Linked DNA regions of Mus musculus. The protein of the gene in region 1 binds, or shares a complex with, the protein of each later gene. Links are inferred from orthologs where the notes say so. Each region holds a gene or a part of one and is shown in the gene's direction. Other genes may lie near its edges. The genes, in order: Ptar1, Ykt6 and Rabggtb.

Region 1 (3,631 bases):
TGTCTCCCTTCTGACCCACACTGGTTTTGTTTGTTTGTTTGTTTTAAGTTTAGAAACAATGTATTTTTATAGAAAAACAAGAGGCTATTGTTCTTACAAAATCAAAACATGAGCATGAAACTTTCTTTTTTTAATTTTATTTTTAATTTATTTTTTACACTCCATATTCCATTCCCTGCCCCTCCCCCATCCACCCTCCAACTGCTCCACATCACACACCTCCTCCCTACCCCACCCAGTCCCCACGTGGATGTCCCCACCCCCCACCCTACCTGACCTCTAAACTCCCTGGGTCCTCCAGTCTCTTGAGGGTTGGGTGCTTCATCTCTGAATGAACACAGACCTGGAAGTCCTCTACTATATGTGTGTTAGGGGCCTCATATCAGCTGGTATGTGCTGTCTGTTTTGGGATCCAGATTAATTAAGACTGCTGGTCCTCCTGCAGGATCACCCTTCTCAGCTTCTTTCAGCTTTTCCCTAATTCAACAACAGGGGTCAGCTGCTTCTGTCCATTGGTTGACGCAAGTATCTGCATCTGACTCTTTCAGCTGCTTGTTGGGTCTTTTGCAGGGCAGACTGCTAGGTCCCTTTTTGTGAGTGCTCCATAGCCTCAGTAATGGTGTCAGGCCTTGGTACCTCCCCTTGAGCTGGATCCCACTTTGGGCCTGTCGCTGGACCTTCTTTTCCTCAGGCTCCTCTCCATTTCCATCCCTGTAATTCTTTCAGACAGGAATAATTACGGGTCAAAGATGTGACTGAATGGCAGCCCCATCCCTCACACACTGTTAAGTTGACTTACATTGCACAGTAGCAGCAGCCCCTTGATAGCCCCATACCTGAGCTTATCGATTATGTTTGTATTACCTGTACATTGAAACTAGAATCAAGGGAAATGATTATTTTCCTCTCTCACCCATGTTCTTCCCTCTTCTTTCCCCTGTGCTATATTAATAGGCGCTGGGTGCTGCAGCAGTTAAGTCAGGAAACGTTCCTGCCCTCCTCTGTGGCCAAAGGAAGCTTAGGTGCAGTTCCTGCAGAGAGGACACAGCGGATAATACAGGAAGAGATGGAAGTCTGCAGTGAAGCAGCAGGGAGATATCCCAGCAACTACAATGCCTGGTCCCATCGCATCTGGGTTTTACAGAACGTGGCCAAGCTGGATCTGAAGGTATTCATTCTCCATCGCCAATGCTGCCCATCCACCCTTTAATCTCGGTAGTAATTTACCCCTCAAAGTGGTGTTCCAGCAGCCCCAGAGGACCAAGGCGGCCGTGGTTTCCAGAGAAATCCTCATAATTACAGAAGGGTTGGCATCTCCCACTGGTACAGCTCGAGACACTGGTAAAGGAAATATGTTGGTAGACTAAAGGCATAAAGAACCCAACATAAGGGGTCAATACAACTCACTAAGATTATTAAATTACGGAGAATTGAAATTATATCATGGTGGTCTCTGGACACCTGTCAAGGAGCTGAAATAGCAGATTCATATTCATATCCTTGGCTCTCAGGAAGGAAAGGAGAGAGCGGGGACAGACTTGGAAAGAAGCCTATAAGTCACGTGGGTGCCCAAGGCCTCTGCAGGCCTGTGGTGCCAGGATCAGGGGGCATCTCCCCATACAGGTGCTCTCCAGAGGTTCAGTGCGGCTCTCACCTCTCACAGCATTGTTTTTTCCCTTTAGAGATGGGGAGATGGAAGTTTCTGGAGTGTTTTGAGGCTTAGACTTAGCTATCCTTGGGTCATCTAGAACATTTAGTACTCATCAGTCAGAATGAAAGCCCCTTTGTTCCTTTTTCTGTTACAGAGTCATCTCCATTTTTCCTTTGTTGTTTATGGTATTAGGATTCCATAACAATATATGGTTCTTTTCTAAAAGCCTCCCGGGGTTGGGGCAGTTGAAAGAGGTGCAGTTGAAGGTCAGTGCGCTCCAAGAGAGCTGCCTGTCGTTGTGGTTCACCAGCTCTGGTCTCTCTTCCAAGTTCCCTTTTCCTCATCTCCTAGTCTTTCAGGGTAAATATAGTTTTCACTTCCAAGGGAATTTAAGCCAACAGAGGAGAGTAGACCGCTCCATCTCTGTTCATGGCTGTGAGTTTCAGGAGGGAGCTACCCAAAGGAACAGGCAGAGCAGACAAGACACTCTTAGCATTGCATCAGCCTGGCTCATATTGTAGGGACAAGGAGAGTAATCCTTTGAGATTTTATTTTTAAAATAAAGACTGCTGTCTATCTTGATGTTAGTGTGAGGGTTGCCTGAGCTAGTGTACCGAACATTCTGGGTTTCTTTCACACAGGTTTCTTTCTCACACAGGTCCTCCTACCAATAAAAAGATTAGGTGAGATGAGCTGCAGCGGGCTTCACCGGCTTAGTTATCAATATATGGTTCTTTTCTAAAAGGTTATCATTCCCAGCTGCTGGCACTAGACTGGTACTGTCCACCAGATGAACTCTACTGGAGAGAGTCCAACCGACAGTTAGAAAGTAGCATAACTCTTGGAGAGTGGGGAGCTCTGAGTCCATTTGGAAACAGCAGAAATGGTTCACTAGAAACAGCAGCTTCGTGGGAGTAGAGATGCACAGGTCACGTGGTTAATGTCAGGGATACTGATTACTGCAGTTCTTTATCTCTGCTCTATAGCATGATAGTGGGGTGGAGCCTGGGGGGTGAATTGGGACTGAAAGGTCAGTGGGATGAAACGTGACGGGAGACTTGCCTGCTAGTCCTGGACCCTTTCAGGGCCCATTCTCATAACATCAGCAGCAATGCACCAAGGAGAAATCCTTGCTCATTTGAGACCATCTTACGGTAAATGCATAGCTCACTGTTGAGATTTTGACCCAGCTCCCTGGATCTACTTCTGTGCTGTGCTCACATCTCGTCCACTTCCTTGTCTTCAGGAGGACTTGCTGTGCTTCCTGTCACTAGCCTTGTGTGCTCTTTGCTTGTTTCAGTAAAATGTACTGAATTGTTTTTAAAGACTGTTCCTGTTGTTCTAAGGGTCTGGGTTTTGCGCTTTATCTCTGAGAAGTAGTACTTAACAAAAGTACCCGTTGTCTAGAGCAGCTGAGAAGTGCGTTTCAGTCTGAGTGTGGTGCACACTTGGGATCACAGCTACTCAAATGGGAGGCAGGAGGAGCACAAGCGGAATGGAATCAGGGCTACATAGTGAGCTCAGCCACTGGGGATGGGCAACTTAGTGAAGTGTCATCTCAGAATAGACTTGGGTAGATTCGAGAAGACGTACCTGAGTCGTACAGCACCAGATTCAAACTCTCGGACTGCAAACCAAGGGTAAAAACATTTACAAACAAAGGACATATACACGCGCTAGCAGCATTGCAAGAGTAGAAAGTTAATAGTATCTTGCCGTGCTAGATATCCAGTACTAGTGAGATGATGAGTCAGAGCATTTCTGTTCATGGACTTCGTCTCTCTTAATTAAACGATGACAGAGACAGTCTAGTTACAGCATAGTTAAACGTGCCTCTTTGTGGCATACAGACCTAATTTGTATTCTAGCTGTTCTACCAATTTGCTCTGTAGCCTCAAGAAAGCTCCCCAGCTTCTCGTACCCGCACTTTCCTGCCCCTGAAAAGAGTGTGATGTTAATTCCTCAACAGCTGTCCCACGG
Region 2 (3,631 bases), on another chromosome or scaffold:
AGTTCCCTTGCCATTGGATGTCTGTGTATCCTGGGGTGCCCTGGAGTCTCATGTGGGATGAGCGCTGTCGGGGAAGGTGCTTCACCGAAGGTACTAGGAAGTTGGGTGGAAGCTATGTTGCGTCTCCTTTGTTTTGCAGGTACTAGATGAATTCTCCAAGCAGGTGGATAGAATAGACTGGCCAGTAGGATCCCCGGCTACAATCCAGTACACAGGCCTGGACGATCACCTTAGTAAATACCAGGTAAAGAAACACCATCTAGAGACGTCCCAGAAGCTGTGGGACCTGGAAAAGGTCCACACCCGTGGTAGCTCAGGGCTGATGCGCAGGTGAATGGTCTGTTTGAGAACCACAGAGAAATCGTTTCAGATAACCCTAGGTTTTGAGTCCACTGTTCTGTGCCTTTTTATTGTGAGAATTGGTAGTTTCCTCAGTTCAACATTGTTTATAGGTAACTACTTCAGTCTCAACCTTGACTTTGTTTTGTTTCCTAGAACCCCCGAGAAGCTGATCCCATGAGTAAAGTGCAGGCCGAACTGGACGAGACCAAAATCATTCTGGTAAGCAGGAAGGGTGGAGGGCAAACATGACGCCAAAGCACAGGAGGATGTGCGCTGACCAAACACAGCGTCCATTCCTACGTAATGACAGTCGCAGCATGCTTCAGGAAGTGGTGGCTGCCACTCCACCAACTTTGTCACTCTCCCTGTATACCTCATCTTACTTTACAGTGCCCTCTACTTGGAGGGGACCAGGTTGGGAATCAGTGTGGTCCTAGTAAGCATTGTGCCAGTGAGCTGTACCCTAGCTTTGAGCTGACGTTTTCTGCTGTATGAATTGCCCAGTTATGTACAGGAGTAAAGGACAGTGTGGCTGACTCCTCAGTTGGTATCACTCACACCAGTGGACAGCTAGCTGCCTGGCAGTGGCTGTCTGGGAAAGGAAATGGACCGGGCAGCAGGACTGCTCCTCAGAGGGCCTCCATCTCTGTCCTCCTGTTTCCACAAGGCAGATTGTAGTGCTGACAGACTAGACCTCATCTCGAGGCTTCCTGTCACGGTGCTGTCAGTGAGCGTGTAACCTATTGTGTATTTGATATGTGTGTGTAAACTCTGAATTTGGAAGGAGTCACATTTTTAAATGACAAAAAGGAAAGTAGTTGAGATTTGCTGTTACTCATTTAATCCGAATGTCCAAGTATCTTTCCATCACATCTTTAGTATAAAAAAGTCATTAATACAGTGTTACCTTTTACAATTTTTTATTTTATATGTAAGGGTGATTTTGCCTACATGTTATATCTGAGCACTGCACAAATGCAGTGCCTTTTAATGCAGAAGGCATTGGATCTCCTGGAACTGGAGTTAGAGATGACTGTGAACTGCCATGTGGGTGCTAGAATTGAACCCAGGTCTTCTGGAAAAGCAACCAGTATGATTAGCCACTGAGCCAGCCATCTCTCCAGTCCTAATAAAGTTTTCTGCATGCTGAGCCTGAGTCTCTGAAATGTGTTATGTTTGCACTTGAAGCACATATTAGGACTTGTCTCAAGTGCTTGGTAGCTCTGTGGCTCCTGGGTCAGATGACACAGCTTTCTCACTATGCTAGTCTCCTATGGATGCTCAGACTTAATCATGAGCTGTATGACTCCAAACAACAGCCATGTGTTCCCTCGTAGGAGGCTGGGGCTTGATGTTGAAGTTTGAGCCAGACTGGTTCCTTCTTGGGGCCATGTGAATAATGTCTGTTCCAGGCCTTTCTCTGGTTTCTGGAAGTTGCTGGCAGTTCTCACTGTTTCTTAGTTTCTCCTGTGTCATCACATGGCTTCTCTGTGCCTGCATCTGTAGTTTTATGAAGATGCTGGTTATGTAACTAAGGCCACCTAACCCTGCACCACTGCTTCTTACGCGTATGACACTTGCAGAGACTTTATCTCCAAGTACAGTTTCATTCAGAGGCTCTGGATGGATGTGAATTTTAGACAGCCATTGTTATCCTGGTACGGTCACAGAGCACTCAGATATGTCTTTCTTGACACACAGAAACCTCTCTGCACATGTGTGCTTACAGTACACAAGTGCAATACAAACATGCTTTGTGTGAGCTTTCCTAGAGCAGTGCTTATCTCAGTCTGTGCTGGGAAAAATTATGGGAAAGCCACCGGGTCCTGTGCTGTTGACTTGACTGGAGTATCTTCTGGGCCTGGGTCTCAGTGCTTGTTGTGTCTGTTGGGTAGGGGCCCAGAGGAGGCACTTCTAGCCATTAAACTTCCATGAGGGCCTGCTGTCAGCAGACACTTCACTGCACAGAGCCAAGAGTTCTCCTCTCTCTCTCTCTCTCTCTCTCTCTCTCTCTTGCCTAGCACAACACCATGGAGTCTTTGTTAGAGCGAGGCGAGAAGCTTGATGACCTGGTATCCAAGTCAGAAGTGCTGGGAACACAGTCGAAAGCCTTCTATAAAACTGTGAGTAGCTCTGCCTGGCCCTCCAGGGCATCCCTGTCTACACAGCCACTGCACCTAGTTTCTCTAGCATTCTTTATGAGGGCTGGCCCTTTATTTAACCAAGATGAGATTTGGGTACTACTCCTTGGGATATGGGGACCTAAAGCAAGTGCTTCGGCTCCAGGGACGAGCGGCGTACACTGGGGCATCCTGCTGCTTGACCAAGGCTAGGCCTTGCTGGTTTCAGAGCTACCACCCACTTCCCATATTGGTTCCAGCTTTGGTCACCAGGGTTTTCCTAATTCCTCTGGTGGGAGAACATTTGGGCATAAATCCTTAAGATACCAGCAGTTCACGTCTCTGAGGTGATTCTTAGTTCTCTATACATTTTCCTTCCATTGGCAGGGTACCTCCTGCTGACTGCCTGCTTCTCTCGAGGCATTACGTAAATTTCCAGTTGTGAACATTTCTGTTGTTTTGTTTAATATGTATGGGTATTTTGCCTCATGTATGTATGTGCACCACATAAATGCTTACTGCCCACAGAGGCCAGAAGAGGACATAGAATTCCCTGAACTGGAGTTACAAGTGGTTGTGAGCTGCCGTGTGGGTGCTGAGTTTTGAACCCTGATCCTCTGGAAGAACAGCCAGTGCTCTTTTTGGGGTTTTTTGTTTTTGTTTTTGTTTTTGGTTTTTGGTTTTTGGAGACAGGGTTTCTCTGTGTAGCCATGGCTGTCCTAGAACTCACTCTGTAGACCAGGCTGGCCTTGAACTCAGAAATCCACCTGCCTCTGCCTCCCAACTGCTGGGATTAAAGGCGTGAGCCACCACTGCCTGGCATAGCCAGTGCTCTTAACTTCTGAGCCATCACCTTAGCCCCAACATTGTGTTCTTGGCCCACTGTGGGACAATAGTAGAGATAAGTCTGCCTATGCATATTTATGTTGAGTTGCAATGTTGGAGGAAGATGATCAGGTGGGGTTAGAAGGGTGGGCTTTGGCCAAAAAGCAAGAATCGGTTCAGTAGCAGCTGCTTGCTGCAGACATGCGCAGAGACCATACTTCTCTGCCAAGGCAGTGATAGCACTGCTGAAAGACTCCATCAATCCAATTTCCACGATTGCTTCTTTTGCTTATACATGGTCTGATTGTAGGAACTATATTAATTTATTGAAAATATTAGTGTGC
Region 3 (4,076 bases), on another chromosome or scaffold:
TCCATAGCAATATATGTGGCGCTTTTTGATTAGCTGGGTAACAGACACTCTATAACTGATCAATCTTCGAGGGTATTGGGGATAGGGACTCGAGCTCAGGTTGGCTTCCAAGTGCCTACACAGCTGAGGATTTGGATCACTGATCCTCCTGCCTCCGCTTTCCCAGTGCTGGGATAACAGGTCTGCACTAGCACTCCGGGTTTGAACGCTGTGGTTGACATCAATGTCCAGGCTCCTTGAATGCTAAGGAAAGCTCTTTGCAAACTGAGCGACATGGGGTCCTTCAGGCAGACTCGTAGCCGGCTGCATCGTGACCGCGGAGTCCTTCAGGCAGGTGTGCGACCGGCTAAATCGCGGCCGCGGGGTCCTTCGGGCAGAGCGTGGCCAGCTACGTAGGGCGTGGGCGGCCGGGCGGGCGCGTGTGCGCAGGCGCGCGGGCCCTGACTCCCCGTGCTCCCGCGCGCTTCAGTCTTTCGGCGGTCGGACATGGTGAGAGCACCGTCGCTGCGGTGCGCGGAGGCAGGGGTGGTCTGGGCGGTGGGTCGGGCTGCGGGGCATCGCGGGCTCGCACAGCATGGGGAACAGGCGGGCCTGCAAGGCGATCATTCTTGTGGGGCCCAGGCTGGCCTGGAGCTCTCCGCAATGCCCCTGCCTCGGCCTCCTTAGGCCATACTTGGACTGCCGCTTGAGCTGTGTATGGCTCAGCGTTTTCTGCACTTCTCGAGGCCTGGGATCTTATCCGCGGACCGTGGGCGAGCCTTCCTGGATTGGGCCGCCTGATATTTTTTCTTAACATCGGGGACTTGTACGTGCCTGTATTTTGAAGGTTACATGATCATTTACGAATGTTGTTTCATAGTTAAACATTTTAACTGGGATGGAAGGAAGTCGGCCTTGGCCCACGCCTTTTAATCCTAACACTCTTGGATTAAAGAAGTGAGGCAGAAGCAGGTGGCCTGGTCTACACAGGGAGTTCCAGACCAGACAGGGCTTCATAGCCGAGACTCTGAATAAAGTAGGAAATTTATTTTGGCAATCGCTTTGACCTACTTATTGGGTGAGTCTTAGAATCGAAGGTGGAATTTGGAGCTAATGGGTCTGATTATTTAGCAAAGGGGTTAGCATGTGAAGACTGTAGAAAGGTGCGCTGAAGCCTCAAACTTGTTAAGCAAGAGTGTGTATTTCTGGCATAACTCAAAAGATAAGCGTCAAGATTCGGGTCAATGATGAGCTGGCATGTATTCTGAATCTAAAGTTGATTATAAACCACTTTAGCTCTAGAATTACTCTGAGACCTGAAAGAAAAAAAGTACTGAGATCTGGCTATGTGTGAGTCTGAGATGTCACGATTTCCGGATGGTGAATGGGATCTCTGCTTTTTTCTTGGAAGGGCACACAGCAGAAAGACGTTACTATCAAGTCAGATGCGCCTGACACCCTGTTGCTGGAGAAGCATGCCGATTATATTGCTTCCTATGGCTCAAAGAAAGATGATTATGTGCGTATGATTCTTTTTTCTGTTGAAAGGTTTCTAAGACTAACAGCAATAAGTATAATACTTACTTGTATAATACTAATTGAGAGGCCTGATTTAAAATGTATTATAGGTGTACCTTGTATATCAGAGGTTGGTATTTGACCACATCAGTCATGTGCTGGTACATAAAGGGCGGAAGTGCAGGGCTGCAGGTAGAAGGGGTTTGCTCATTTCTGTCTGGGGTAAAACCTTGAAGGTCAATGATGTGTTGGCATGTATTATCTGAATTCGCTGATGTGTCATAACACTTTAGCTCTAGAATTACGCTGAGACCTTGAAAAGGTTTTACCTAAACTTGATGTAATGGTGTGCCTGGGGAAATGGCCGGGGAGGTTGCCAGCAGCAAGCAGGGGTGGCTGAGTTTGAGAAGGCCCAAGCTGTGGGGGGACCCTCCAAGGAGGAGTCATTTGGGTAAAAGTATTTGTGCAGCAGCTCTCTGTCTTAGAGAGCGTGGCATTTGACTGTCTTTACAACTTTTCAGTTAGTGGGAATCATAGGCCCAAATGTGTGGCCTTCTTGCCAACTGTGCACCTGGTTCTTTTGGGTTTGGTTTGGCAGCACGCCAGTGAGGCCTTCACCTGAATAAATGCTTGTGAGGTAATGCTTCATTTGGTTCCCATCTTTAGCGTCATTTATCTTTCCGTATTCATAGACTTCATTTGTAGAATGCAATAATTGATGCTTAGTAAACAGTAGGCATCAATACTGCTTTTGGTTAATTCACCTGAGGTTAGCACTTGGAGACTAAGAGTATTGGCTCTCAATCTTCTTGCTGCTGTGACCTTTCCTAACAGTTCTACGTGTTGTGGCGATCTCCGACCATGAGATAACTTTTGTTGCTACTTACTTCATAACTAGTTTCATTGTTAGGAATCAGAATGTGGGGCCCAAAGGGTCGGCAACCGCCACTCTAAAGCCTTACGAGTTGTTCACAGCTGACTTAGGTAGAGGTGGGTTATGTAAAGTCAGAGTGGCAAATCTGAGATGCTTCTCCTAGGAATACTGCATGTCTGAATACCTGAGAATGAGCGGCGTCTATTGGGGCCTGACTGTGATGGACCTCATGGGACAGCTTCATCGCATGAACCGAGAAGAAATCCTGGTGTTTATCAAGTCGTGCCAGCATGAGTGTGGGGGAATAAGTGCTAGCATTGGGCACGACCCCCACCTTCTGTACACGCTCAGTGCTGTCCAGGTGAGCCCTTGTGAAACCTTGCCACTTGCTGTGACCACCCAAAGGCTACTTCCCACAGGTCAGTGATGTCATGGCATGTATTAGCTGAATGCTAACCTGATGCAAGTTACAAATTACACTGAGACCTTGGAAGGTGAACTCCTTGTGTATGTTAATTGAAGCACAGTCCAGTTCAAATTTGGTTTCAATGAAGAGCCAGAGGATAGTTAAAGCCCTACCTGTTTCTTACCTTATCAAGGGAACAAGAAGTTTATAGTAAGCTTGAGAGGGCCTGGTGGGTGACTCTGATCCAGGACAAACCTGTGACACCCGCTTGTCTTTCAGATTCTTACTCTGTATGACAGTGTTCATGTTATCAACGTAGATAAGGTCGTGGCCTATGTTCAGAGCCTACAGAAAGAAGATGGCTCCTTTGCTGGAGACATTTGGGGTAAGACCAGATTGCAGTTTTTGTCAGCTACTCCTACTCAGAATATCTTTTGTCTTGGTGGTAGTAATCATAAGATTTCAAGTTGTTCCGTCTTTTCAGGTCCCACTAAGCAGTTGGTCTAACTGGAATAAAATGGCCTGCTGGAAGTCCCAGCATGCCCCGTGCTGGCTTGTCAGCACACCACACTAAAAGATAAGGTAGGTTCAAGTTTTATCTCCAATAATAATTAACTTCCCTGAAGGTAAAGACCTGGGGAGGTCTCTAAACGTTTGTCAAATTAGTAAATATCTTGAGTTGGGAGATGGAAATTTTTCCTTTGATTAATTTAGATAATCTGGGGGGGAACAAAATGCAGTCCTGAGACCAGCTGCTTTGTGGGATGTGAACCTTTTTTAAAGCAGGGCTTTGATTATGTTACTAAATTACTAGCCCGAATGGGGGGCGAGGCATATACTCCTGCCATTTTATAGGTTCCTTTCTTTTCTGGGCCCTTGCAAGCTACTAGGCTATTGCTTTCTATTTGCCTAGCTGGTTTCCTCAGAAGTTGGGGGACTGCCTCCTAGTGAGCATAGTCAGTCTTGACTTTGGGGAGTTTAATGGGTTTTGTTCTTAGGTGACTTGGTAGCACTTACATGTCTGCCTTGGCTCTTTTTGTCTTTTAGGAGAAATTGATACAAGATTCTCATTTTGTGCGGTGGCAACTTTGGCTCTTTTGGTAAGCTTTGACTGTTGCATTAAAGGACCGAATTAAACACTTGAGTACTAGGTAGCTGTAATAGGCTGCTTCCTTTCTCGTCATAGGGCAAGCTTGATGCTATTAATGTGGAAAAGGCGATTGAGTTTGTTTTGTCCTGCATGAACTTTGATGGTGGATTTGGGTGCAGACCAGGCTCTGAATCTCACGCTGGGCAGGT

The links.
Region 2: the proteins of Ptar1 (region 1) and Ykt6 are in contact, whole or in part, in a crystal structure (PDB 6J7F), measured with the Homo sapiens proteins. The link is inferred for Mus musculus from reciprocal best matches to the Homo sapiens genes PTAR1 and YKT6. Residues at the interface, in NP_001093136.1 of Homo sapiens: Glu31, Gly33, Leu34, Ile35, Pro36, Val48, Val50, Glu51, Lys53, Leu54, Gly55, Ser58, Lys135, Tyr191, His225, Ser228, Met229, His230, Val231, Ser232, Asp233, Phe298, Asp301, Leu302, Ser305, Tyr306, His309; in NP_006546.1 of Homo sapiens: Met1, Ser29, Phe30, Phe31, Asn83, Glu84, Pro86, Gln131, Asn132, Pro133, Arg134, Gln180, Phe184, Arg189, Ser193.
Region 3: the proteins of Ptar1 (region 1) and Rabggtb are in contact, whole or in part, in a crystal structure (PDB 6O60), measured with the Homo sapiens proteins. The link is inferred for Mus musculus from reciprocal best matches to the Homo sapiens genes PTAR1 and RABGGTB. Residues at the interface, in NP_001093136.1 of Homo sapiens: Val61, Lys62, Leu65, Pro66, His69, Leu73, Arg76, Leu97, Asn98, Asp100, Phe101, Thr102, Thr103, Asn106, Lys109, Glu110, Leu113, Ile141, Arg144, Trp145, Pro192, Ser193, Tyr195, Ser199, Ile202, Trp203, Gln206, Val231, Ser232, His234; in NP_004573.2 of Homo sapiens: Lys6, Asp36, Tyr37, Cys40, Met41, Glu43, Tyr44, Ile89, Gly90, His91, Asp92, Asp136, Trp138, Glu140, Phe177, Asp178, Gly182, Cys183, Arg184, Pro185, Gly186, Ser187, Glu188, Ser189, His190, Gln193, Trp217, Glu221, Arg222, Pro225.

Annotation. Positions count from the first base shown.
Region 1 is NC_000085.6:23,707,800-23,711,430, forward strand, and holds part of Ptar1 (protein prenyltransferase alpha subunit repeat-containing protein 1), read left to right. Parts: intron 1-954; coding exon 955-1,168; intron 1,169-3,631.
Region 2 is NC_000077.6:5,962,198-5,965,828, forward strand, and holds part of Ykt6 (synaptobrevin homolog YKT6), read left to right. Parts: intron 1-139; coding exon 140-244; intron 245-495; coding exon 496-561; intron 562-2,363; coding exon 2,364-2,465; intron 2,466-3,631. UniProt on the Homo sapiens protein: Vesicular soluble NSF attachment protein receptor (v-SNARE) mediating vesicle docking and fusion to a specific acceptor cellular compartment. Functions in endoplasmic reticulum to Golgi transport; as part of a SNARE complex composed of GOSR1, GOSR2 and STX5.
Region 3 is NC_000069.6:153,909,347-153,913,422, reverse strand, and holds the start of Rabggtb (geranylgeranyl transferase type-2 subunit beta), read left to right. Parts: upstream 1-1,219; 5' UTR 1,220-1,363; coding exon 1,364-1,498; intron 1,499-1,732; exon of another isoform or gene 1,733-1,813; intron 1,814-2,455; exon of another isoform or gene 2,456-2,534; coding exon 2,535-2,732; intron 2,733-2,811; exon of another isoform or gene 2,812-2,856; intron 2,857-3,056; coding exon 3,057-3,162; intron 3,163-3,261; exon of another isoform or gene 3,262-3,359; intron 3,360-3,824; coding exon 3,825-3,877; intron 3,878-3,963; coding exon 3,964-4,074; intron 4,075-4,076. UniProt on the Homo sapiens protein: Catalyzes the transfer of a geranylgeranyl moiety from geranylgeranyl diphosphate to both cysteines of Rab proteins with the C-terminal sequence -XXCC, -XCXC and -CCXX, such as RAB1A, RAB3A, RAB5A and RAB7A.